3 linked regions of the Oreochromis niloticus genome follow. The main gene of each other region encodes a partner of the protein of the gene in region 2 in a complex. Links are inferred from orthologs where the notes say so. Each region holds a gene or a part of one and is shown on either strand. Other genes may lie near its edges. The genes, in order: dpf3, smarcc2 and dpf1.

Evidence for each region.
Region 1: smarcc2 (region 2) and dpf3 share a complex: the UniProt entries of both Homo sapiens proteins name them as parts of the BAF complex. The link is inferred for Oreochromis niloticus from reciprocal best matches to the Homo sapiens genes SMARCC2 and DPF3.
Region 3: smarcc2 (region 2) and dpf1 share a complex: the UniProt entries of both Homo sapiens proteins name them as parts of the neuron-specific chromatin remodeling complex. The link is inferred for Oreochromis niloticus from reciprocal best matches to the Homo sapiens genes SMARCC2 and DPF1.

What each region holds. Positions count from the first base shown.
Region 1 is NC_031980.2:5,880,158-5,887,588, forward strand, and holds the start of dpf3 (zinc finger protein DPF3), read left to right. Parts: upstream 1-4,341; 5' UTR 4,342-4,429; intron 4,430-4,512; exon of another isoform or gene 4,513-4,906; 5' UTR 4,907-4,958; coding exon 4,959-4,990; intron 4,991-7,431. Other genes in the region: wdr21 (WD repeat domain 21), read right to left, coding at 77-191, 375-551, 633-730, 818-910, 1,152-1,231, 1,498-1,547, 1,751-1,894, 2,227-2,329 and 4 more. UniProt on the Homo sapiens protein: Belongs to the neuron-specific chromatin remodeling complex (nBAF complex).
Region 2 is NC_031970.2:23,534,585-23,542,411, forward strand, and holds the start of smarcc2 (SWI/SNF complex subunit SMARCC2), read right to left. Parts: upstream 3,071-7,827; 5' UTR 3,029-3,070; coding exon 2,918-3,028; intron 2,290-2,917; coding exon 2,170-2,289; intron 2,073-2,169; coding exon 1,987-2,072; intron 1,866-1,986; coding exon 1,784-1,865; intron 1,234-1,783; coding exon 1,141-1,233; intron 1,047-1,140; coding exon 977-1,046; intron 891-976; coding exon 821-890; intron 649-820; coding exon 573-648; intron 124-572; coding exon 1-123. UniProt on the Homo sapiens protein: Involved in transcriptional activation and repression of select genes by chromatin remodeling (alteration of DNA-nucleosome topology).
Region 3 is NC_031979.2:8,686,125-8,694,017, forward strand, and holds the start of dpf1 (zinc finger protein neuro-d4), read left to right. Parts: upstream 1-4,883; 5' UTR 4,884-4,928; coding exon 4,929-5,134; intron 5,135-7,893. Other genes in the region: si:ch211-11n16.2 (zinc finger FYVE domain-containing protein 1), read right to left, coding at 43-160, 274-371, 454-562, 1,303-1,409, 1,551-1,768, 1,864-2,086, 2,311-2,592, 3,312-3,431. UniProt on the Homo sapiens protein: May have an important role in developing neurons by participating in regulation of cell survival, possibly as a neurospecific transcription factor. Belongs to the neuron-specific chromatin remodeling complex (nBAF complex).

The sequences.
Region 1 (7,431 bases), on a different chromosome or scaffold from region 2:
AACAGTGAAATTGCATGGAAAAAAGGTTTATACCAGTGAGAGTATTGAGTGTTGAGAGTGTTTTATCCTCTCCTACCTGCTAGCAAAAGCCCTTCACACTCATTGACATGGATGGGAAGGTAGGCATGCTCATTATGATGACCTTTGTACTCCTGCACTGGCTTTGTGACTCGCACATCCCACAGCTTAATCTGCAAAGAAATTAGAAAACACACAAAGGCTCAACAGAACTATCCTTGAATTATTACCTAATTTCAAATCATTCCTTCCTGATATTTTCTACCACAGTTTGTCAGTATGGCCTGATGGTACTGTGTTTACCAAGTCTTTCCGCATGAGGCTAAGAAGAAAAAGAGTCAAGTCAAGAACCTGACCTGGCCCAGCATGTCAGCAGCCAGCAGGTAGTTCTCATCCTGCAGGACGCGTACAGAGGTGATGGCTGATTCTTGATGGAAGCGACTGGCCTTCCAGCTGTGATCTCTGCGGCCGCGCTGTCGGAGGTCGATGCTGAAGATCTCCCCCGATCTGCAACCGTTAAACAGGACAGGAACCTGTGGACGTAAAGATGTACTTTCTTTTGCTTGGTGTTCTTACAGAGTGCTTCAAAAACTTTAAAGTTACAAATGCCTCACCCTAAGGGCAAACTGCTGAGCCAGGACATCACTGCCGACGCTGTACGTCTGTGTTCTGCCTGTCTCTGCATCCTTCACAATCACTCTACGAGACAGGCCTGCCAACACACACATAAACATGATTATTTTAGATGTGTAATTTTCTCCTTTCTATAATGACAAAAATGTTTAGCTGCGGTACTAACCAGTGCTGAACGTCTTGTCAAACTGGGGGTTGAGGCACCAAGCACAAGACCAGGCTGAGGATATCTTAAAGCTGCACAGCATTCCAGGCTGATCTGAAGAAGGAGTACAAGAAGTAAGAAGAGAAGGGTGTTGAGGGTAATAGGGAGGTACACAACAACAGCAAAACTGCTTTCAAAACATATTTCAAAATAAAAGTCTTCTAGAATAATAATTCCAAGACTGAAGAAGCTTATTTGAAAAGTATGTTTTACCATACTGCTACCTGGGTCCTTCAGAAATGAACTACAAAAAGGCAATGTGACTGCTGCATATTGTGCAAGAACCCTGACAAACCTGGGTTGGAGTTGCTGAAGAGGGAAGCAGGAAGTAAACTCACGCAGCCAGGGGTGTCTGCTACTCCCACCAGACACAGTCTGATAGTTACTTCAGTCAAGGACATACAAGTTTCACCAAAACAGTGAAGAGATGTTGACACAGGTGTGCACTTTATAGAGCTAAAATGTTACCGTTTTGATGATAGTCACCAAGTGTAGTCTTTTGAAAACAACAGCAAAATGAATCCACAAATAATGCAAATGAAAAGGACAACTCATAAGTGATCTTTGTTGCCAGGTTAAGCCCTTCATTTGAAGGTTAAGTGAACTAGAGTTAGCGCTCTAATTAAACTGTGGAAGGATACAACACATGAGAATCGGGGTAATTTACTGAAGCCCAGCAGATGGAATTGACCTGAAACATGTTAGCCAGATCAGAGTGATTAATATTATTTAAACAGACCAAATGTTTGTAGAAACATCATAAAAACAGGCTCCAAGATAAATGTGAATTAATTCATTTTTATTTCCTGCAGTGTACTAAATAGAAACTAAAAAAATGCAAACATATTCTTTGTATTCAGAGAAGGTCTTTTATCTCCAAAGAAATGCTCCTACCTTCCGATTAGTGAAGTAGAGGTTATCGCACATTTCCACAGACAGAGACCCCTTGCTGCTGCTGCTGAAGTTCATGATGCCATACTTGCAGCCGCCATGAGAGACATCGTTGACTGTGAACACTCGCTCACACGCCGAATCCCCCTGAAAAAGAAACAGCAACAAAGAAACAAAGTGTATGCACACCATCAACTACAGATAGGAGCCATTTTTAAAGGTAACCTACTGTGTTCATTTCCAGCAATTAAGAAAAAAAAAGGACTCTAACGTCAACGTTTAACATTCAAAACAATCTTTTTTGTTGTTTTAAAAAAAAAAAATCATACACAGGGCCTTGGTGGACCCAAAATCATCCTCTGGATGAAGCAAACTGCTCTAACTCCCTCTCCCTCCCGTGAAACCAACTCTAACTAACATTTATTCCATTGAAACATGTGTTTTGCACTGTGTTTGTGTGTGTGTGTGAGTGTTCTCACCACTATGAGTCTGAAGTTGTCGGTGTTCGAGATGCTGTTGTCTGTGCTCTGGATCTCTAGTTTGTGGCGTCTCATTCCACTGACCTTCACCTCATGGACGAGTCTGGAGACCAAAAGTAACCATAGTAACAGACTAGCACTGTCTGCAGACAATCTACTAACCCAGGATAATTGATACACTTTCCTCTTAGCTTTCTGACAGTGTCTCTGTAGCAATTTATGTATTTATTTAGACAGTTTGCCTGTAGGATAAAAAGAACTAGAAACTTCCTCATATGCATTTCATTACTTTTTGTTTTTCCATTTATTCATATCATTCCCAGTGATGCAGAGTATTTTCTTTGACTGCATTTATGCATGTTTCTCCATCTTTTTATTACCATTTAGAATAACTTGTCTAAACAGATTAGCATCATTATTAGTGGCCAGCAAAGCTCAGAAGAAAAGTCACTCTACACATGCAGAACTGATTAGCGTTAAAGTTTCTCTTTGTTTCCCATAATCCGTTACAGCTGTGGCTAGGACATGGGAAAAACAGTGTTATGTTGAGTTTTGCGTGCCTGCAGCGCTGTGACACAGTACCTGCAATAGGAGTGCTCAGGTAATACGCCTAGATGTCGTTTCTGAAGTAGCAGCGAAGTGTTTAGTCCTCTTCTTGGTGCTTTCTGTAAACAACAAGGAAAATGTGTGTACATGTTTACAACCGAGGTTTCTTTCTTTACGACTTCTTAAACATTTATGTTCCGGATTGAAGAAGAGCATGTGCTTATGCTAAGATCAACTGTGATCTGTGAAGTGTTTTATTCCTACACAGATCACAGTTGTGCTCTAATGCTGTACTGTGATGATGTCATTACAGCTGCTGCCATAGCCATAATCCTTTAGTACACTGCACAAGGTTTATGGTAAGCTTTCATCTAGAGGGCATAACTTAAGCATATCAGATGACTGTGTCTGTCTACAGCAACAGGAAAAAGCTTAATGGAATCTTAAAAGAATAAATATGATAAAAATGCTAAAAGACAAAGAAGATTAAAAAGATTTGCCCACCACCCTCGACGACAGACTTACTTTTCTCGTTTTTTCATCTTCTGCCAACATCTTGTTCCTCTCCTTCTCTCTTTCTTTCTGTTGTAGCTGCTCTCTGGTTAGTGGGTTACAGTTGTTGTGCCCGGGCAATAGCCGGAAGTAACGGTTTTTCTCTGGGTCAAAATAGAAACCTGGCAGCTCTGGCAGGAGAAAAGGAGGTAGAAATTAGGCTTGTGCATCTTTCATTTGATTTTCCAAGTGTATCCTCTTTTTTTCAAGTGCTCCTGGACAAGACACTGGATGCAAAACTACTGTTTAAGTACATATGTATTTAATTTAAGTGTTGTGCTCTCGTTTGCCTTTAATAATAAGGGCTGGTGGCTCCAGAACGCAAACATGCACTTTCAATACTGTATGTTACTGACCTGGTGCAGCACTGCTGGCTTTAGAAGAAGACGAGGAAGACAAGGAAGAAGAGGAATGTGAGACAGGCTGGTTAGCATGCTGCCTCTGAGATGGTCTGTGTGAGGGCCCTGCATCATCACGTTCATACCTTTGAACAGGAAACACACACACACAACAATGATACTGACATACTGATCACTGTCATTACAAACGCTGTATTTTAGTATGGCACATCCTCCATACTTTAACGTGATATAAGTGTCATTTAACGTAGCTACCACTGCTGTCGGTTTCCTCGGTGCCATCCACGGCGCTGACCAGCACCTTGTCGCGTGTGCGGTCGCTGTCCTTCTCGCCAGTTCCACTTCCTCATTTCTTATGGTTCGGCGTAGAAGTAAAATGGTCCTGACTGCGTGTTGCTTTTCATTCACTTCTCTGTGTTTGGCAGTCCGGGTGTTTATAGGCAGATTACCATCAACACCGTTGGGCTAACGTTAGCTGCACATCTTTCTGCACACGTTTTGACACGTTTGCTGGACATTCACCATCGATTAAAGTAAACGACGTATTTATAGGTCGATAAACAAACGTTGAGTTGACACTGTACTGGGTTTATTTTCTTAATAACATGGCACTAACATGAAAGTAATTAAACCTCACTAGCTAGCTAACTCCCGTGTAGTAACGTCCAACCATGCCATCCCCGCCTCCACACGTCTTTCATTGGTCCATTGAGAACAATAATATCTGACGTTTTAGACAGTCATTGGTAAGTTTCTCCGCGAGCTCTCGGGATAACCGTGTAGAAAATTACTTTTATTTCACTGGATTCTCGGAAATAGCTGGATATTGTGATAAGTGACTGCTCGACATATATACGCCCTTAACACGATATATTTTAAAGCGGCAATGACTTTAAATTACAAAAAACAAAATTAATGTTTGATATGTAGTTGGATTTATTTTCCAGCCATTAAAACCTCAAAAAACATCAAACAAAAACATTAGAAGTGAGACTGTAATAGTATCCCATGCTACATAGCATTCATGTTGTGGTTTTCACTGTTAAGGCTAAATCAAGTTAATTTCATGGTGTTATTACAATCTGGGGTCTGGGGCATTAATTTTGACAGATTTATCTGAAGCCACGCCTAAAGTCCTGATGCTGGTGCTGTATTGGCAGGGAGCACAGCGCACAGGACCGCATTGGCTGTTTTTTTTTTTTTTTTTTTCTTTTTTTCATTAGGGTCCCAAACTACACCGAGATTTGGAATATTACGTTATAGTCCTACAGGAAGATGGCGACTGTCATTCATAATCCTTTGAAATCGTAAGTACATTTCTTTTTTGTTATTATTATTTTAATTACTGCATCGTGTAAGAGAAATGTAACGAGCTATTATGACTGTATGGGGATTGCACGCGCTTTTAAATAAGTCTAACATTTAATACCTTTAGCATACACTTGGGCAGTCTCCGTATCTTCAGGTACCGTTGCCTAGTTGCTGTATTGTGTAATACGAATATAAAAGCATGCACTTATGCACGGTGTACGGACGGAAAACATCACGTCCGCGCGCAAATGACTACATTCAGTTTCATTTATGCATAAAGTTGCGGACATTCTACTTTTAAAAATAAATAGAATAAAAACAAATCCGTCTGTCAGAAGTTTGCCTACGGTCCTTATGGGGGATATTTGCGTAGTTAATATAATGCAAGCACTGACACAAAGCTCCCATTGCGCGACTCGTGCTTGTCTGAGCCTGACAAGCACACGCACAGCAGGTTATTACATTAACTTTAATATGTGTGCGTGGAGGAATAAACTGCTTAAAGCCGATCTTGGCGGTTTGAAAATGCATTTGTGGAAAAATGTGTATATGAGCATGGGTTTAAAAAAAAGGTTAATGGGATGGGATCCTAAGTAGAGTAAAGATTTACGGGATAAAACCAACTTTCATTATATCACAGAATGCATGTTCCCCCTCCTGCTGCTGGCTGACGGCAGATGTTTACCACTGGCCATGTGGAATGCGCAGTGTTTGACAGTTTCTTGTGCAAGAGGCAAGTGTTTTAATAATTTGAACGGAATGCTGCTGCGGGTCCCTTAAAATAGATTCTGAAATGATGCTCTTATTTTGTAGAGCTCTTTTTTGTTGTTGTTGACAACCAGAAACATGTCATAAATGGTTACTGTGTGGAGGGGGGTGGACTTAATGCTGCTGTCTTTTACCGAAACAGATTAGGCTGTAGGGAATGAAGGTATATGTGTTTGCTTTTGTGTGCATGTAGAGCAGCAGATTAAAGAGCGTCCCAGTATTTCAGTGTTTCGCTGGGTCCATCTGTTAACAGAGAGGTACACGTAAAAAAAAAAAAAAAGACAGGCTGATGCTGGGGCAGAGGGAGGGAGGGAGTCCCATCTGCCCTTTGCATGCAGCAGGGCTTTCTCAGATAGACACCCCCCACCAATCTAATATCTGCAAAAAAGGGAAAGCAATATGCATATGGACACAGGACCCCACCTACCACAACAGACATACTAGTATAAGCTCAGAGCAAAATAATGAGAGGCAACTGTAATGAAAAGTGTATGTGAAGTGTAATGTGTTGGAATGTAAGACCCAGTATCAAGTAACATGTGAGTTACAACCTTGGGAAGTAAAGTCGCGGTCTACTTTTTAGACAGAGTCTACTGTGTTTGAAACAATAGGCCTTACTTCTGAGTCGTACTCAGGATGTGGCACGTTAATAATGCGCGCTCAGTGAGGACGTGGTAATAATCTAGCCTGCTCTCTTGCCAGTGCCCAGCTCTGACAGATGAGTTATAACCATAAGGAACATGGCAGTAAATATGTCTGGCTTTGTGGACTCGCTCACTCATGTTTAGCAATGCATATTTTCCTCGACCGACTCAAATTCTCATTTTCAAAAAGACTTTTGGTAATTGAATCCTGGGAGGCCGGGTGGGATAATGAGAAGCCGACATGAGAAGTATTCAAATAAGCGCCGCGATTCATATGCAGAGATGTGGATATCGCGCCTGTTACCTTCTTTCATTAGAGTTGGATTTGTAAATAAAAACCAAAGAGCTCAGGTGGGATGTGGTTTGGTTGTGTTTGCACAAGGATTGAGAGAACTTGAACTGAGATTAGAGGAAATGTAAGGGAGATGTAGGGTTGTCAGTGTGTTTGGGGTCGTGTGTTTTTATTGTGGGTTTTTTTTTTTTGCATGTATGCGTGGAAGTGCGCCCCTCCCCCAGTTCTTGTGAGAGGGAGCATGAGTGAGTGATGGAGGAGGGTGGAGGGGTGTCTGTCTGGCTGCATTTAGTCCTGCTGCATACATTTATACTACACTCTGAGCGCTGGGGTGAACCCTGGCCTTTGTCTATCCGAGCTCAGGGAATGGGAATGGAATGGTTTCCAGGCACAGACAATTAAATGGACAGGAACATTTTTTTTTTTTAAATGGAAACCTCCAAGCAGTGATCAATGCTTTTTCTTTTTTTTTCATGTTCTGCACATGGAAACATTTTTCTCTCTCTATGGGTATATGTGAGACTTTGGAGAGCTGAGAGATAAGCATGTGGTATCCTTTACAATATAAAATAGCATATTTTATGTTGGACAAACATTTTATTCTCCACATTTCCTCCAGTGATGCTCATGCTGAGTTGAAATGACTTATGGGTCAAGCCATGTCTACACCTTGCACTCCTTCACCTCTCCTGGCTTCTGGTGTCTCTGGTCCTCCACCCCATCCCTTAGCAAA
Region 2 (7,827 bases):
CTCATCTGTCAGGGTCTTGGCAGAGATCCTCTTCCTCTTAGGACAGCCCTCTCCAACCTCATAGTCCTCCTCGTTCATCCACTCGTTATACTGGTCCAGATCTAAAATCCACTTTGCATGGACCTGTAAATAAATAATTAATAAATAAACCAATTATTATCTGCCCAGAAGTGAAATATTTTCAGCAATCATGTCAACCACCAGGATGGTGGAGGAGGAGGTGGAAGGAGGAAGAGCTAAACTGAGTTATAATAAAGTTATAATAAAAGTTATAATAAAAGACTGAAACTCATGATATTAACCTCTGTTATTAAAGACTTTATAAAGAACAAGAACAAATTTAAATTCAAGCTGAAATCAAAAAGGTTTCCAAAAACATACAGATGTATCTGTAACATTTAAGTGCTGCACAGTGGACAAATAAAAAAAAAGATCCTTGAATTTAAATACTGCAAGTGTCATGTAGCATTAATAAAGGGGTCAAATACTTGTTTTAACTCAGGGAGTATTAGAAAATCTGCTGTTTAAATTCATACAGACTGACACAGACAGAAAAAAGCAACAACAAATACCTTCCTGGGCTTTTCTGGGGAGGGAGGATCTTCTACCGCAGCCTCAATTTCACTGGCTGCGATCCAGGTATCATAACTAAACAGTGAAAGGAATGAGGTCGAAACTCGCATTAGGTGGGAAAAGCACGTTTGGCCATGTAACACCACAGCAGGAGGGGTAATGTCAGCTTAACCTTCTAAAAACCAAAGATGTATTGAGAAAATAAGAGAAGTAGATAAAAGTGAGCTGCACGGTGCTCAGAACAAACCTGTCAGGAAAGTATCCCCAGTGAAGCAGCACTTGCTTGTCTCTCTTCATCACAGGACGAACCCACTCCTCTGGACCAAGAAGATCAGACGATGTTAGCGCAAATCTGACTCGTGCAGTAAAACTTGTAACAATGCCTACCGAGACAAAACCTCACCTTCCTCCAGACTGGCAGGAATAGGCACAACAACGTGGGAGCTGGAGGCCTTGTCTTCGGTTACTGAGCCCTGCAATACAAGAAAACATGAGTAGAACCATTTGAATGTAAATTAAATCTGTCTGTAGTAAATGATCTGCCTGAAAGGCTCCTTTAAAACACACCTGATGTCTTTTGATGATGTCTTTCAGTTTCCCCAGCAGCTTTGGCTCTATGTCAGGACTCAGGTAGATGACGGGCCTAGTCAGACAGTTGTTCTGGAAGAATTGGAGCAGATACATCACTTACATAACTACATTTGCGAGCATTGATTCAAATAATCAAGAAGACTCACAAAACAATACAATAATCGAAACTCAGTTCTGCCCAATATTAGTTTTGCTATAAGCTTATTCATGCAGTCTTCCATAACAGTCCCAGTTTCTCATGTGCCCTCTTTGGAATATTAATTGCCCAGTACTTGTCCTATGAACTTGATTAAAAGTAGAAATCAGCATGCCACAGCAGATGAAGAAATCTAAATGATCTTGGAAAACTGCAGGACTGATTAAGTAGGATTTCTGTGGTCATGTGACTGGATGTCTTTCAGTACTTCTGTGTGTAATGCTCAGGCAGCGTGATTCCCAGACTCTTGAGAAATTTAGCGTAACCACAGGACACGGTGTTCTCTTTGCTATCATTTAAATTTAATGCCTGCAGTAGGAAAAACCATCAAAAATTTACTCCTGTTAGATAAATGAACCAAAATATGGCCTGAAATTTTCTAGTGTCCATTGACAACCATAAAAGCACTTCTGCAAATCTCACCTGCACTAAGGACTTCTCAATCGTCATGAACATCTCCACATTTCGGTCCATCCTCGACGGATTCTGGAAGTCAAACCTGCGCCTACCAGGAGTTTAGACTGGAGTTACACACGAAACGGCAACATAGCCAATATCCAACTGAGCACCGTAACTTAACAGCCACTAGCCCAGACGCCTAAACTCAGCTAGAAAGAAAGTCTTACCATCCTTGGTCACTTTTGAACTTGTAGGCTGCAGCCAGGATGTGGCAGAGAGCCCCTCCTGACTTAAAGTCCAAGAAGCATTTCATCTGCAGGGATACAACTCAACACATTCAGAATCACAGCGGTTTAAATGAGGTATCTATTTTTGCATGTAACAGATATACAGATGCTTAAGACACGTACCGGCAGCTTGGTAAGCGGAGGGTTACTGACATGTCGACCGAACACCTCCTCCTGGAACTGGAGCAGCTGGACCACCAGGCTGGACAGAGACTTGTTGGTGGGGGGCTCGGCCTGGATGTACTGTGCGCAAACACATGAATATAAACTCAACTGTGCTGCTGGATGCCTTTATCAGATACCTCAAAGGAAGGAAATTTCAGTGAAAACTGCGACACGGATTGGTAAATGGGGAGGGGATGGAGTCACAAATATCGCTAACCTTTCATTTTTATCACTGTTTAGTAAAAAATGATTTTTTTTTATTTGTTTATTGTGTTTAAACACCAGCACAGTCCTCAGTGTTATTCAACACCGGACATTGCTTCAGTCAGCGCGGCGCGCCACAGAGCCAACATCTGGATCCGAGCTGCCTCACCGTTAGCCCATTAGCTTACTAGCTAGCTAGCGGGCTGGCCGGCTAAAGTCACCCTTCAACAAAAATCCATCCTCTGAGGTCAGACTGTGTGCTTGTTTTAGATCGGTTTAACTACAACAGTGCTCAGAGAAGCTGCCGTTAGTGGCTGCATCTGATGCAGCTGTTGGCTCAGCATCCTTTTGTATCCCGGCTCGAGTGAATCAAACAGCTGGACGCTCAGCAGCACCCTCCCTCCTCTCTTTGTCACTGCCTCTGCCCAATAGGTAAGTGGCCATATTTCAACGTGAAAAATGGAAGGTCTCGCTGTAGGATAGCAAAACATGCGGTCGGTACCTTTTTGTAATTCTTTCCCAGCCAGACGCGGACATTATCAAACTGAGAAACGGTATCAGACGCTTCGAAATATTTTACATTCGGGCCGCCGTCTTTCTTCCGCACCGCCATCTTTGCCTGCAGACAACTAGTCGAAGTTGCCTGCCGCCCAGCGACCACAGCGCGAAACTGCAGCCTTGGACTGTAGTGACAACCAAAGTACAACAGGGGGCGCAGCGGTGTAGATAATGTTTTTGTCCTCCAACAATACGATTATAAAAATGTTTATGCTAACCTCTCAGCGAACACACGCACAGATAGATAGATAGATAGATAGATAGATAGATGTATCAGTGGTTTAATGCTGATCTGGTTTGCTGGTAACTAACTGCTGTTTTATTTGAAAAAAAAAAGAGTAATTTAGTAAAATGGAGAAAAAAGTAGACTAAAACTGACAGCGAGAGCTCGTTAACTTCCCTACTTTCTATGTTTAAAAATTAAAGTAATCATTTTTACCCTATTCTTGATTTTATCATACTTTCCTCAACCAGTAAGCAATTAAATTGAGACCAATTAATAAGATGAGTTTTTAAAAAATCATGTCCGGTATCGGATAATTTCTCAATTCGGCTGTCAGTATTTGAAGAGAGTCTTACATAATAGAGTCAGGTGGATCGTTAGGTCATCAAAAGCAAACTTCAGCAGAGCTTTAAGTTATACTGACGGCAGTCTATGTTTTTTTCTGTGTGAGTAAAATCTGTAGAAGCTCAACAAATGCGGAACACACTAATGAACAAATCCTCAGGCGTGTGTAAAATGTACAGGAGCTTGCAGAGTATTAATAAAAATATTATTTAATAACCAGTATTAATAGTTAGTTTGATGCCTGTGCCTGTTTGTAAAATTCACCATATGCATCCACTCTAGAAGTGATAAGGAGGCTGATTATGCCAGTGCCCTGAATGGGCTACATGGTGAGTCTAAAATAAAGCACTTACCTGTAAATGTGTGTGGGGGAAAAAAATGAAATGGCAGCGATTGACCTCCTTAGCAATTAAATGACCTCCTGCAACAGGATGTCAGTAAGAGTGCTCACGAGACACTCAAGAAAGAAGGCAGGCAAGTAGTGTTTGTTTTTTTATCTTTTATTGAACTGTGAAAAATAAAAATGGAAAACGACAGTTTCTGATCCAGTGCGACAAAAAGTAGTAAATCCTGCTATTTGATGGTAATTGACATGATTCGGATATGTGTTTTATGCACTAAGTCAATGGTTTTAACTTAAATCATGGAAGCACTTACACTGAGAGACTTAGAGTGTCCCAGCAGGTGTCCAGTCTCTATTTAACCTCTAGTTTTCAGTGTCATCAGAATCAGAATACTTTAATAGTCCCTAAAGAAATGATGCATATCATGTATTGTTATGTGATTGTGGACAAATTAAATCAATTCCCCTCCTCAGCCTGGCGATAACTACAGGAAATGTGTTTGGAGGTTTTATCTTAACTTGGGGGTTAAGACCTCTCAAAGGATTTTCAATTATCTATTCATAAAAATTAAATGATTAAACGTTGTCTGTTTGTTGTCCTTTTTTTTTGCCTTTGTGTGTTTAGTAGGACTTTAAGTTTTTTCTTTCAATCCTCCATAAACTACTCAAATGGACAATCTTATATAAACTTACTGTGTGATAAAACTGAGCAGTATTTTGTATGTACCGCATGAGGAGTCTCAACTGTGCAGTGCTTCATTTAAAAAGGTCATGTGGGGAAAAGGTGGTGAGCATTATCAGAATTTGAAAGTTCAAATTAGATTCCAGATTTGGTTCAGCTAAGTGCCAGAGTAGATATTTTTTTCTGCTATTCCCTATTATGTTGAACACTTTGATATTTTCCTCTGGTCACCTTTTATTTCTTCTTATAAAGTACTTGTTTTAAATCAAAACTACATATGTAAATATGTGTTCAGTTAAATTGCTGCAGTAAAAGAACTAAAAATTGCACACATGTCACAAGTTTAATGTTGTATGGATACAAGACTTTTAATTATACAGCATATTCAGTATGTATATGTATATATATATATATATGTATACAAAAGTCTTTTATGTGAGAGCAAATTCAGCAGCCATTAAAGTTCAGAAATAACGGAGCAAAATATAGATATGTCAGACTGTTTTCATGTTCCTGACCTTTAAACTGGCCCTCGTTTAGTCAGAGGCTGAATTAACCTTCATTAACAGAGAATAGGTGTGTGTGTGTGTGTGTGTGTGTGTGTGTGTGTGTGTATGTGTGTGCATGTTGCCTGACCCAGACTAATTTGTGAAAGTCCACAGACACCACTGGGCAGAGTAGTGCTCCTTGAACTAGTATTCCTCAGACTCTTGGTGTGTTTGTATTTGCTCAGGAGCGTGTGCGTGCGTGCATGTGTGTGCATATCTTTGTAATGGTGCGTGTTTGTGTGTGTGAGCGTTGTACACAGGGCTGCCTGTGCTGAAGGAGAGAGAGTGAAGCCTATTGATTATTTTAATCCTCCTATTTGTGAGTCTGTGATCCTCTCGGCTCAGCCTTCCACAGGGGGATTGCTAATGGGGCTGAACGCTTCCCTCCTCAGCCCTCTCCTCTCCCTGTCCAATTAACTTAACGCTGGAATCTGCAAGGAGGGAGTGCTGGGACTCAGAGGGAGGGAGACACTGCCGAGATACATGCCCAACAACTCCCCCCCCCTCCCTGTGCAGCATTCCCCTTACCTCCTGTCTGCTCCTCATTCAGCAAGAACCTCCTTGTTCTGAATAGTATTAGCTCTCACCTTTAATTAAAGATCCATCTCCTTGTTTTTATTCCAGGGAGGTGAGACTCCCTTTCATGTTTCAATGTTTCACTTTCACTGGGTGGCTTCGGAAAGGGCCAGAAGCAGCAGCAGGTGAAGAAACAAGTCTGATAATGGGAAAGCTCTCTTCAAACAGGTTGCTGTAGCAGCAATTATGACAAATCTTTGACATTTCAATAACTATTTGCAGCACTAGTACGTTCAGCTCACTCATGAAGAATTTTAGGCATCAAGCTTTTTAATTATAAACCTGAAAAAAAAGGGTATTCACAAGGCATTGTTTGATGCAATTAAATTTTATATTCAGGCTCCTCTGTCTTCACTGAATGTGTGCAGGCAGTGCAAAAGCAACCATGTACAAACCACAACACATTTTTCTTATTCATATTATTTTTGATCAATAGTTGAATTTTGTGCTTAGTACAAAAAATGTTAGCATGCTAACATGGATGGAAAAACCTTCAAAACATCAACATGTTAGCATTCTAAGCCTGTTTGGATGTTAAAGTTAGCATTCAGGTCAAAGCAACACTTTAGGAAAATCAGAATATTGTAAAAAGAAACATGTCTAAGTAAAGAAATGCTGCCTGTTAAAGATATGGCTTTTTTTTTTTTTACAGAATAGATCAGAATATCAAATATGTGCCCATTTGGCAACATTGTGTGGCTATGGATGCCTGTGGCTGACATGATCCTGCTTAACCAACTCACTAAATTTGGAATACCTTATTCTAGTTGTGTATGTTTTGTTTTTGGGATTTACTGCCACTAAAATTCTACAAAGAGAAACACGCAGCTAAAAATGTCCACAAATAAATGTAATTTACAGTAAAATCAATGGTTTTGCACACATACAACATATTGCAATTCCACCTTTACAGTGCTTATTATCCTGACCAATTTGCACATTGCCAGAAATGTAAACTTAGTTAAATGTAATTTTGCACATTTGCAGGATGATTTGCGAATCTCATAAACCCATAATTTATTCACAATAGAAACACAGAGATTTTATGCTGTTCTAATAGATGCAGTTTAGCGTTGTCTTGCTGAAATATTATAGGCCTTCCCATCCTGGTGGGAGCATATGTTGTTCTAAAACCTGTAAATATGTTTCAGCATTGTTGGTGCCATTCCAGTTGTGCAAGCTGCCAATTCAATAGACAATGATGCACCGCCGTACCATCAAAGATGCAGAATGGTCCCTCTCCTCTTTAGACAAGACCTGTTCTCCATGTTTTCCATAGAGGGTTGTCTGTACACAGACCAGTTCTCCACTCTGTCTCAGTCCAGATCTCAGAGATGATGGTGGTGTTTGAGGATCATGTTGAAGCTTTAATCTGCGTTTGTGTATGGCACGGCAAACTGTGTTCACAGAAAAGGATTTCTGGAAGTGTTCCTCAGCTCATGCAGTGATTTCTCTGCTTGTTTTTAATGCAGTGCTGCCACAGGGCCAGTGATTTCACAGAGATTGCACACAGAGATTTCTCCAGATTCTCTGAATTTTTTGACATTATGCAATGTAGATGATATTGAAGAGATATTCAAACTTTTATGTTTAGGACCATTGTCCTAAAATTATTAAGCAGTTTGTAAATACCGTTTTGGGTTTTTGTTGCAGATTGATGAACATTTGCCTATTTTTACTTCTGAGAAACTGTGCTACTACAAAATGTTCTTTTTATACCCAATCATGTAACTGATGAAGTAATAAGTTTTATTAATCCAATCCAATTACCCTTTTTTAATTACCACCTACTTTTCCAGCCTTTTTCATCGCCTCCCCAACTGAGATATCTTACTACTGTCAAATTCAAAATGAGCTAATATTTTTCACTGGGCAGATTTGCTAAACAGAGAAAATGAAATAGTGCTCATAGGTGTAGTTAGTTTTACAGGTGACTTGCAAAGTTGCAAAGCTGTATTTTAAACACAGGTGTAGACAGATTATTATTATTGATGCAAATACCAGTAAACATTAGGAAACCAGTTTGCTTGTTTTAAAGATTCTCCTCTCCCTATTTTGTGCCTTGAGAAAGGAGAGTACCAATTGTTTTGGAATTAAGGTTGTATATTTTTAAATATACAATAAATATATATATTTT
Region 3 (7,893 bases), on a different chromosome or scaffold from region 2:
TTATTAAATATAAACATGAGTTAAGCATGTTTTAGTACTCACACCCTCCCAGACGTGCTTGACCTCTGATCGCACCACACCACTCTCTGGGTCCTGGTTTCCCATCCAGTACTGTCTGCTGCGGTAGATTACCCCACAGCTAGCACACTCCAACACATATCTGAAAGAGGGACGAGAGGAACAAGGCAGCAGACAGTGGAAATGAGATTATTGGCTGAAAGGCAAAGAGGAGTGTGAGCGTCCGCCTAAGTGTGTATATGTGAGTTTACATACCCTGACCAGGCGTACTTGGCCAGTCCAAACCAGGGATTATCAGACGAAGCTGATGTTTTGGGCACAACAATCACCTCTCTGCCAGCTTCATAGCACCTCTGGACATGCAACAGATGTAACAGATGTAAACAACAACAACATACAGGTTCACCAATACTAGCTGAGAAATTCTGTTCTTACCTTACAGATGAGGACCTTGTTGTTGTACTGGTGTGCATACTGGCAGAGTCCATCTGCCATGTGGGGAACTCTGTCTCTCAGGTGGTTCATTCCATTTTTACAGCGAATGCTAGAGAGTCACACCAACATGACAGATATTAGAGTTGGTGAAGGAGAGGGGGGATTTGTAAGAATGCTTAAAACCTATGGTTACAGTGCACTCATTATGATTTTTCACACACACGCTGCTCTCAGGTTTTAGGAAAGAGGAAGGAAGAAGAGTAGCTAAGAAGCAAAGTAGGTTTCTCTTCACCAAAAATGGAAAAAGAATTAGCACTTATGCATCCCACTGAGGAGGTAGTTAACATCCATGAGAAAAGCAGAGGATTCCCATTTTAAAAGAATATTGTTCTCTACTGTGATTCAATCACAGAGACAGTAAAAGATTGCTGTTCTGAGATGGAAAACTTGAACTATTTGGATCAAACTAAATGAGAAAAAGCTCAGGAAAGGTGGGGTGTGGTTATAATAACAGTCCATCCAAGGTGATTAGGTAATCTGCAAACACCCAGCGCTGGAGATCAGTACAGTTTCCAGATCAACAATAATAATAATACAGGTATGACACACACTTCTCAAACATCTAAATATTTACATAATTTAGGAATTATTCATCTTTCCTTTTTTCAAAAAAGTGACACATTTCATAACAATGCAAAAACAATGCAAAGAGTTAAAAAGACAATTACATAAAGTAAAATTTCAAGCCTCAAAGAATTTGACCTTGTGCTTTCAGGTTTAGGTTGAGCATACGTTCACATTTAAAGGACCAGTTCTAGCTCTTGTGTGTAGACAGTGTTACTGACTTACTTGCAGCTGAGACAGAGAGCTGAGCAGGTGAAGTATTCATCTGGGAAGAAGGAGTACAGTGTCATCTTTTCATCTGATAGTTCTCCACAGAAACGTTCACTCAGAGCCTGGGGAAACAAAAACAGAACGGATTAGAAGACAGAAAACTAGATGGGAGCTGAAAAAAAGGCTGAGGAGACACAAAGGAAGAATTAAAACAATCATATGCTTTTTCTTAAAGGCCTCTAATATGGTGCTTCTTCACTTACTTCTAGTGCGTGAAACACTATTGCAGGCTGGCGGGGGGACCGGGTATGAGTGTTCTTCACTTGCTGCTTGATGGCCTCTAGCAGCCCGCTATAGTTCGTGGGCGGCGTGATCGTCTGAGTGCCTATGTACTGCACTGAGCTGAAGGCCTCTGTCCCCAAACCCAGGTCATGAAAACGCTTCTGGAGGAGTGTGTCTGCATAGCCGGCCATCTTTGAGTCTACAACAGGAAAGAAAGACAATAACATTTAAATTTGTGACACGGGAAATTAAAACCAAGGGAAATAATTATCCTAAAGTTGTGCTTGGAAGTACCTTGGCCCAGGAGTTGCGTGTGTGTTGTTTCCTGGAAGATGATGACTGCAGGCCCCAGAGAGGACAGGGGTACATCCAGACCACAGCGGGTGGACAGGGCCCTTAGCTCTGGGGTGAAATGCTTCAGGTATGCCCCTGAGGCACTACTCAGGAACTGGAACATGTCATTGTGAAGACGCTCTGCCCGTGTGCGATACACCACTATATCCGACACTGCCAGCACCTGAAATTGAAATAAAAATGTATCTACAAATAAGATGACTTGTTTTTATCATGAAAACATTGGAAATGAGAAATAAAATGAGTTTCACTGTTCTGTTTACATGATTAGGATATAAGCATTACCTCAGTAGAAAAATTAACGAAGACAACACTAGAACTCAGAACACAAAATCACAGACTCCTCCAATTATTCCACCCAAACCAAGCAGCAACCGCTAAATTTACCTTCAGCAGCAGCCGCATTCTCTGGTTCTGATTGGCTGCGGCTCCCAAGAGGCCCTCTGTATCCAGCGCAATGAGGCTGAGAGTGGGGTTGTAAGCAGCCCAAACTCCCACAGTACAGGAGCTGGGGGACTTGGAGGTGTAGAAAACAGTCTCGCCATCAAATAGGACGTGGTTGAGCGTGTGAGACTTGCCATCACCGGTGTTTCCAAAGATGGAGAGGACCTTGACGCCCGCTACGTCAGCACAGCCAAGTCGCTCCACGAACTCGGCCTCATCCCGGACCTATAGGATGAGAGGAGAAAGAGCACCAAGAGACACGCTGGTTACAGAGATGAGCTATTTTGTGGCACCGTGATACAATTGAGCAAATTACTTTTACTGATTCTTTATGAACAGTATTATTTATTTAAAACAAAGAAACCAACAACAAAACAAAAAAAAGAACTGCGGGGGATTAGTCGCTTCAATCTTAACGCTAGTTGTTCATACAGATTATCTTAAGTACACAAGAAAACATTATCTCTTGTACTTTGTAACACAGTGTGAGGGTGTCTTCCATGTGGGTCAGCTGTGCTGTATGACTCACCAGGGACTTTCCTAATAACAACCCTGTCTGCTGTTGTGCTGCTCTTATTTACAGCTTAAACTTAATGTTTTTCACAGTATTATAATCAAGACACCATCCACACGTTAAAGCCACGGGCTGTATACAGACAAAGGCTAAAAACACAAGGGGCTAAACACGACGAACATCCAAACACGCTGTTTAACGTCGCATTAGCAAAGCGCCGTGAAGTAGCTAAAGCCTCAACAAACTTGCTTCATTAGCTTCAAGACAAAAAGCTCGATTTAGCTCTGAAAGCAGATTTGGCTCATCCAACATTTTTTTCTTTTCGTCACAAAAGATAGTTAAGGGCCTTCCGTAACAAGAGTCTTCCCCTTTCTAGCCTAGCGGCTAACTGTTAGCCGCCGTTAGCTCAGCTGATGTTAGCTAACTTTACCTGCAGGTTTTCTTGCTCGTCCACGAGCAGGAAGCTCCGGCCGCCGTCGTCGGGTCGGTCCTCTGGCTTCAATGGACTGATCGACAAACTATCCATTTCTTTCATCAGTATATCGGACATCGTTGTTTACTTAATTGAAACGCATTTGTGGCAGCGGCACCAAACAGCAAAGCGAAAGTTTCACATGACGCCTACCTGTCGGTCAATCACAACAACAGCGCGTGGACTATAGGAGGAGCCAGATGGGGGCACGCAGGGCAGCGACGTAAGACGCGCTTGTTTGACTTTGGTCTGTACATGAGCACCACCGTGTGGTCAGCCGCAATACAGCACCTCACATGCCATTCAACAAACTTCCTTCATCAGGGAATGAGAAAGCATAAAATAAAACCATGTGGACCCATGTGCACGGTCTTTTGTAGCCTGTAATATGTATTTTTTTTCTTATTTAAGATTAATGATGTAAACCAAACACAAATAACGTTCATCTACCATTTCTTGCTACGTTAATATAAAATAACACATTTATTATTCTTCACAACTAAAGCATAACGCACAAAATCAAAGTTTCCTTAACTGACAGAGAGTGTTTTATCGGAGCGGTGCTGCCATGCTAGAGCTGCTTGCTAATGTTCATTAAATATTTGTTAGCACAGATCTATAAATATCACATGTCACTGGCTTCAGAGCGGCGCCACTGCTGCTAACATGACATGGAGAAAGAAATTCCAGCATTGCTGCTCTAACGGCTCTGAGTCCTTCCTTCCTTCCTCCCTCCCTTCCTCCCTCCCTTCCTTCCAATGTCTAGGGAATGGAAAATGCCAGCCCAGGCTTTGGCATAGTCGCTTTTAACACCCTTGTCTCTAGCCTGTGTCAAATAAAATCGCCATCTGGGACAGATCCAGCAAAAGATGTAGTATGGGCAAGAAAACGAGCGAGTGCGGGAAGGATGCAATAAAGGATGGCGTGGTTAAGGATTTAGAGAGGGTCCCAGCCTTTCTCCGGGCTCAACTATGAGAGACAAATGTCTGAAAGAATCAATTATAGGCCTACTCCCAACCCATCACCCCTGATTAATGAATAATTAAAGCTTCTCATTGCAGGGCTACCTAACATCCATGAGACTAGCCATGAAGCCGCTAAGATTGCGCAGAAACAACTTCTCTTGATTTTCAACAAATGACTATACAGACCTGTCACAGTTTCCTTAACAAAACAGGCAAACATCTTTGTATGCAGTTAGTTTGTGCTTTTTGCTACTCGAGTATCCAGTTATTCCCTTTACAGTGCAGTTAAGGTGATACCTGACCCAAATTTGCACCCATATCCACAATCATACCTCTGTAAACAAACACAATTTAGTGTTTAGCAGCTATAAGAGACAGAGTCATCATCACATCCAGACAAGGGAACGATGCTTATAGGAGAGACTGACAGACAGTCCTGCAACCCAACCTTAACATAACTGTGGTGGATTTTTTCTTCTTCTTTCTTTTCTATAAATTCGGATGGGGGGTGTGGGGGGGCATTGCCCTAACAAGTCCGAGGCGGGACCGTGGTCCACTTAAACCGCTACCCCCCCTGGAACTTGTAGTACTGTGCTCCTCGGTGCGTCTCATGTTGACATGCATAAAAACTACACTTCCCCAAAGCTGTCACAGAGCGCTCCCGCCTCCCATTGGCTGGCCGCTCCAGCCGCAGCCCCAGAGAATGAATGAAATTGAAATAGCTGCTACATTACATGTACAATACCGGGCTCTGCAGTGTTGCATTCTATCATACTATATCAAAATGGCCACAGCGGTACAGAACCCCCTCAAATCGTAAGTACAACACGTTTCCTGAGTGTTTGCGCTTTTTTCGGGCATTGTGCATGCTGTCACTGTCAATTTAAGCCCCTCAATTTCCCACATATTTCCCCAGCATGATTACCAACGCGTCTATATGCATGCAGTGCATACAGCGGAGAATGAGATAATGTCAGGAGAGGCGAATGAGCCCCGGAGAAAAGTTAGATTTAAAGCTGATGGAGGTTTCTGGGAGGTTTTTTGGGCATGAGTGGTGGGGGGATTATTGCGCGCTCCGATGCAATTCATATAATCATTTCTCTGAGCCAACAGCAGCGTGTGTGCAGGGATATGGAGGAATGCTGGAGGTAGATTTGGGTGACCCGGTATGTCCCTTGCCAGTGCAGCCAGCCAAGATCACGGCCAAAGCCGGGCTGGAGTGGCAAGGCTGTCCGGGAGGAAGGGGGATGGTTTAGATGGCTTTACAGTACCTGTGTGTATATTTTGTTGAAGGGGGGCTGAGAGGGGGTAAACAGGTAGACAGAATGAAGTGCTCCGTTCCCGGGTTTTTAGGCTGCAGCGTTACCTTTACCGCTGGACCTCTTGGAAACGTATAGTGCGAGGTAAATAACGCTCCTCCAAGACTTGCTTTCATCTTCGGCGCTTAGAATAAAGCCTGGAATCCAATCCAAAGCCCGGCGCTTTACATTTAGTGCAGCTACATCACAGCGGACATTTATCTCCACTGACGGACGTTAAAGCGGCGGGTTTCCCCGTGAAGTTTCTTCCGCGATGATCCCCTTTGTGCAGTTTTTTTTTGGGGGGGGGGCGGGGGGGAGAGTGGAATGTCTTTTTTTTGTTTTTTTGTTTTTTGTTCTGAGACTGGTTTCAGCGGAATGCAGACGCCTGCTGCCCGCCTCGGCTCCCGGCCAAAAAGGTGGCTGATGTGCGTCTGTCAGCGGGTACACACGTTCAGCCAAAACAAAAAAACAAAAAAACAATAGCTCGAGTACCTTGGAGTGTTTGAGCACACAAACGCTCCAGCTCAGGCAGTTTGAAACAAAGAAAAGTCACAAGACCTATGTGCCAAAGGAAGGAGGGGGGGAGGCACATCGGATGCTGTGCAGGTTTTTTACCTGAGCAGGGAGATGGGATATAGTGTCTGTCTGTCTGTCAGCTTCTCCGAGAGGCGACATTTCGCGCATTTCCATGAACGACTGCCCTGTACGTGCCTGCTGTGAAAAGCTCCTCACACGAGAGAGGGAACTGGATTTGTAACGGTGCTGATTGGTCAGCGAGCCCTGATTGACTGTGATGGTATTTTGGGGGTGTTTTGGTTCAAAGTACTTGCGCTACAACGCAACGCAGGGACCACAGATATAACGCAAACACGCAGGAGATGAATCATTTATTTTTGGTTTATCTATGCTCTAAAGGGCAGGTATGTGGCAATGCCGATGACGGGAATGGACGGGTGGAAAATGATGGAGGCTCCTCTCCTCTCCTCCACAGGATGCTCATCCAAGCAAAGAAAAAGTGTGTCCAGATTGTTCCCAGAGGCCCTCAGTGGCACCATGTCAGGGGATTAAATTGACTCATTTGCATGGAGTACACACCAAGACACACAGACAGAGAACACAGGGTTTGGGTACGAGGAGGAGAATAGAATGGGTGGAAAAGTGTACAAAAGACAGCAGAGTAAGTGGTTAGAAAGAGTGACTAATGAACTACAGCCCAATTTTGAGTGGTGGTCTTACACTGATTTCTTTTTAAGTGCTTCAAGTTAGACAAAAACCTCCATATTGTTAGCCAGTATCAACCCTGCAGGGATGTTGGATTCCCTTAAAGCACGTGAGAAGAGGACAAAGCTGGATGTATTTATTTATTTATTACACAAGGCCACAGCAATCAAAGCGGCCTTTAATATCTCACCAACTGCATAAATGCCATCATTACGCAGTGTGGGTTTAACTGTGTTCCAGTTACCGCTCTGCAATGGGCTTTTAAACAAGCCCTTGTAATTAGCATGTCTACAAACAAACTTGCTATTAGAGGCTTACAAATTAGGGACCCATCCAGTAAAATGGGCCAAACAACCAGCAAAATTGGGTTCAAAGTCAGCCCTAATAGGGTGGCTGAGCCCTGCGCGCCTGGAGACGACGCCTGTTGTGCCCATGAATGTCCCCAAACCTTGCTGGATCTCTGCGGTGAATTGGCATTAATTCAGTGTATATAAATCTTTGGGAAGCTGCTGGTCCCCACTGTCCAGCTGAGTGTGAGTGGGACACTGTGACAGCCAGTATACGTGCGTGGAGGTACGGTGGAGGGTTCATGTGCAACAGCAAATGAGGGGAGGAGAACACTGAGCTCCATCCGATCTGCTGGGCATTTCCCTACCAGCCCCTCTCCCTGTCTATCACTCACTCTCTCTCTGCTGGATTAGACTCGTTTATAATCTCTCTTTCTCCCTCCCTTTTACTTCCTCTCTGTCCTCCCATCACCCTGCTGCCCTCTCTTCCACTATATGCCTCCCTCCTTCTTCACCACTTTCCCAATCCATCACTAGTTTTGCCATCTCTCGTTTTTATTCAGCCATCTCCTTTCTCTCTCTCCCTCTCTCTCATTTTGTTGTCCATTTTCCTTCTTTTCGGCCTCAAACCATCTGAGCCCTCTCCCCTCCCACCACTCTTCTTTACATTGTGAATCAAGGCATGGCCACTCTTTTAATAAACTACATCGATGGGAAATTCCTACGCATTCTCTCAGATCCCTCGAAACCCCGTTATATAGCTTAC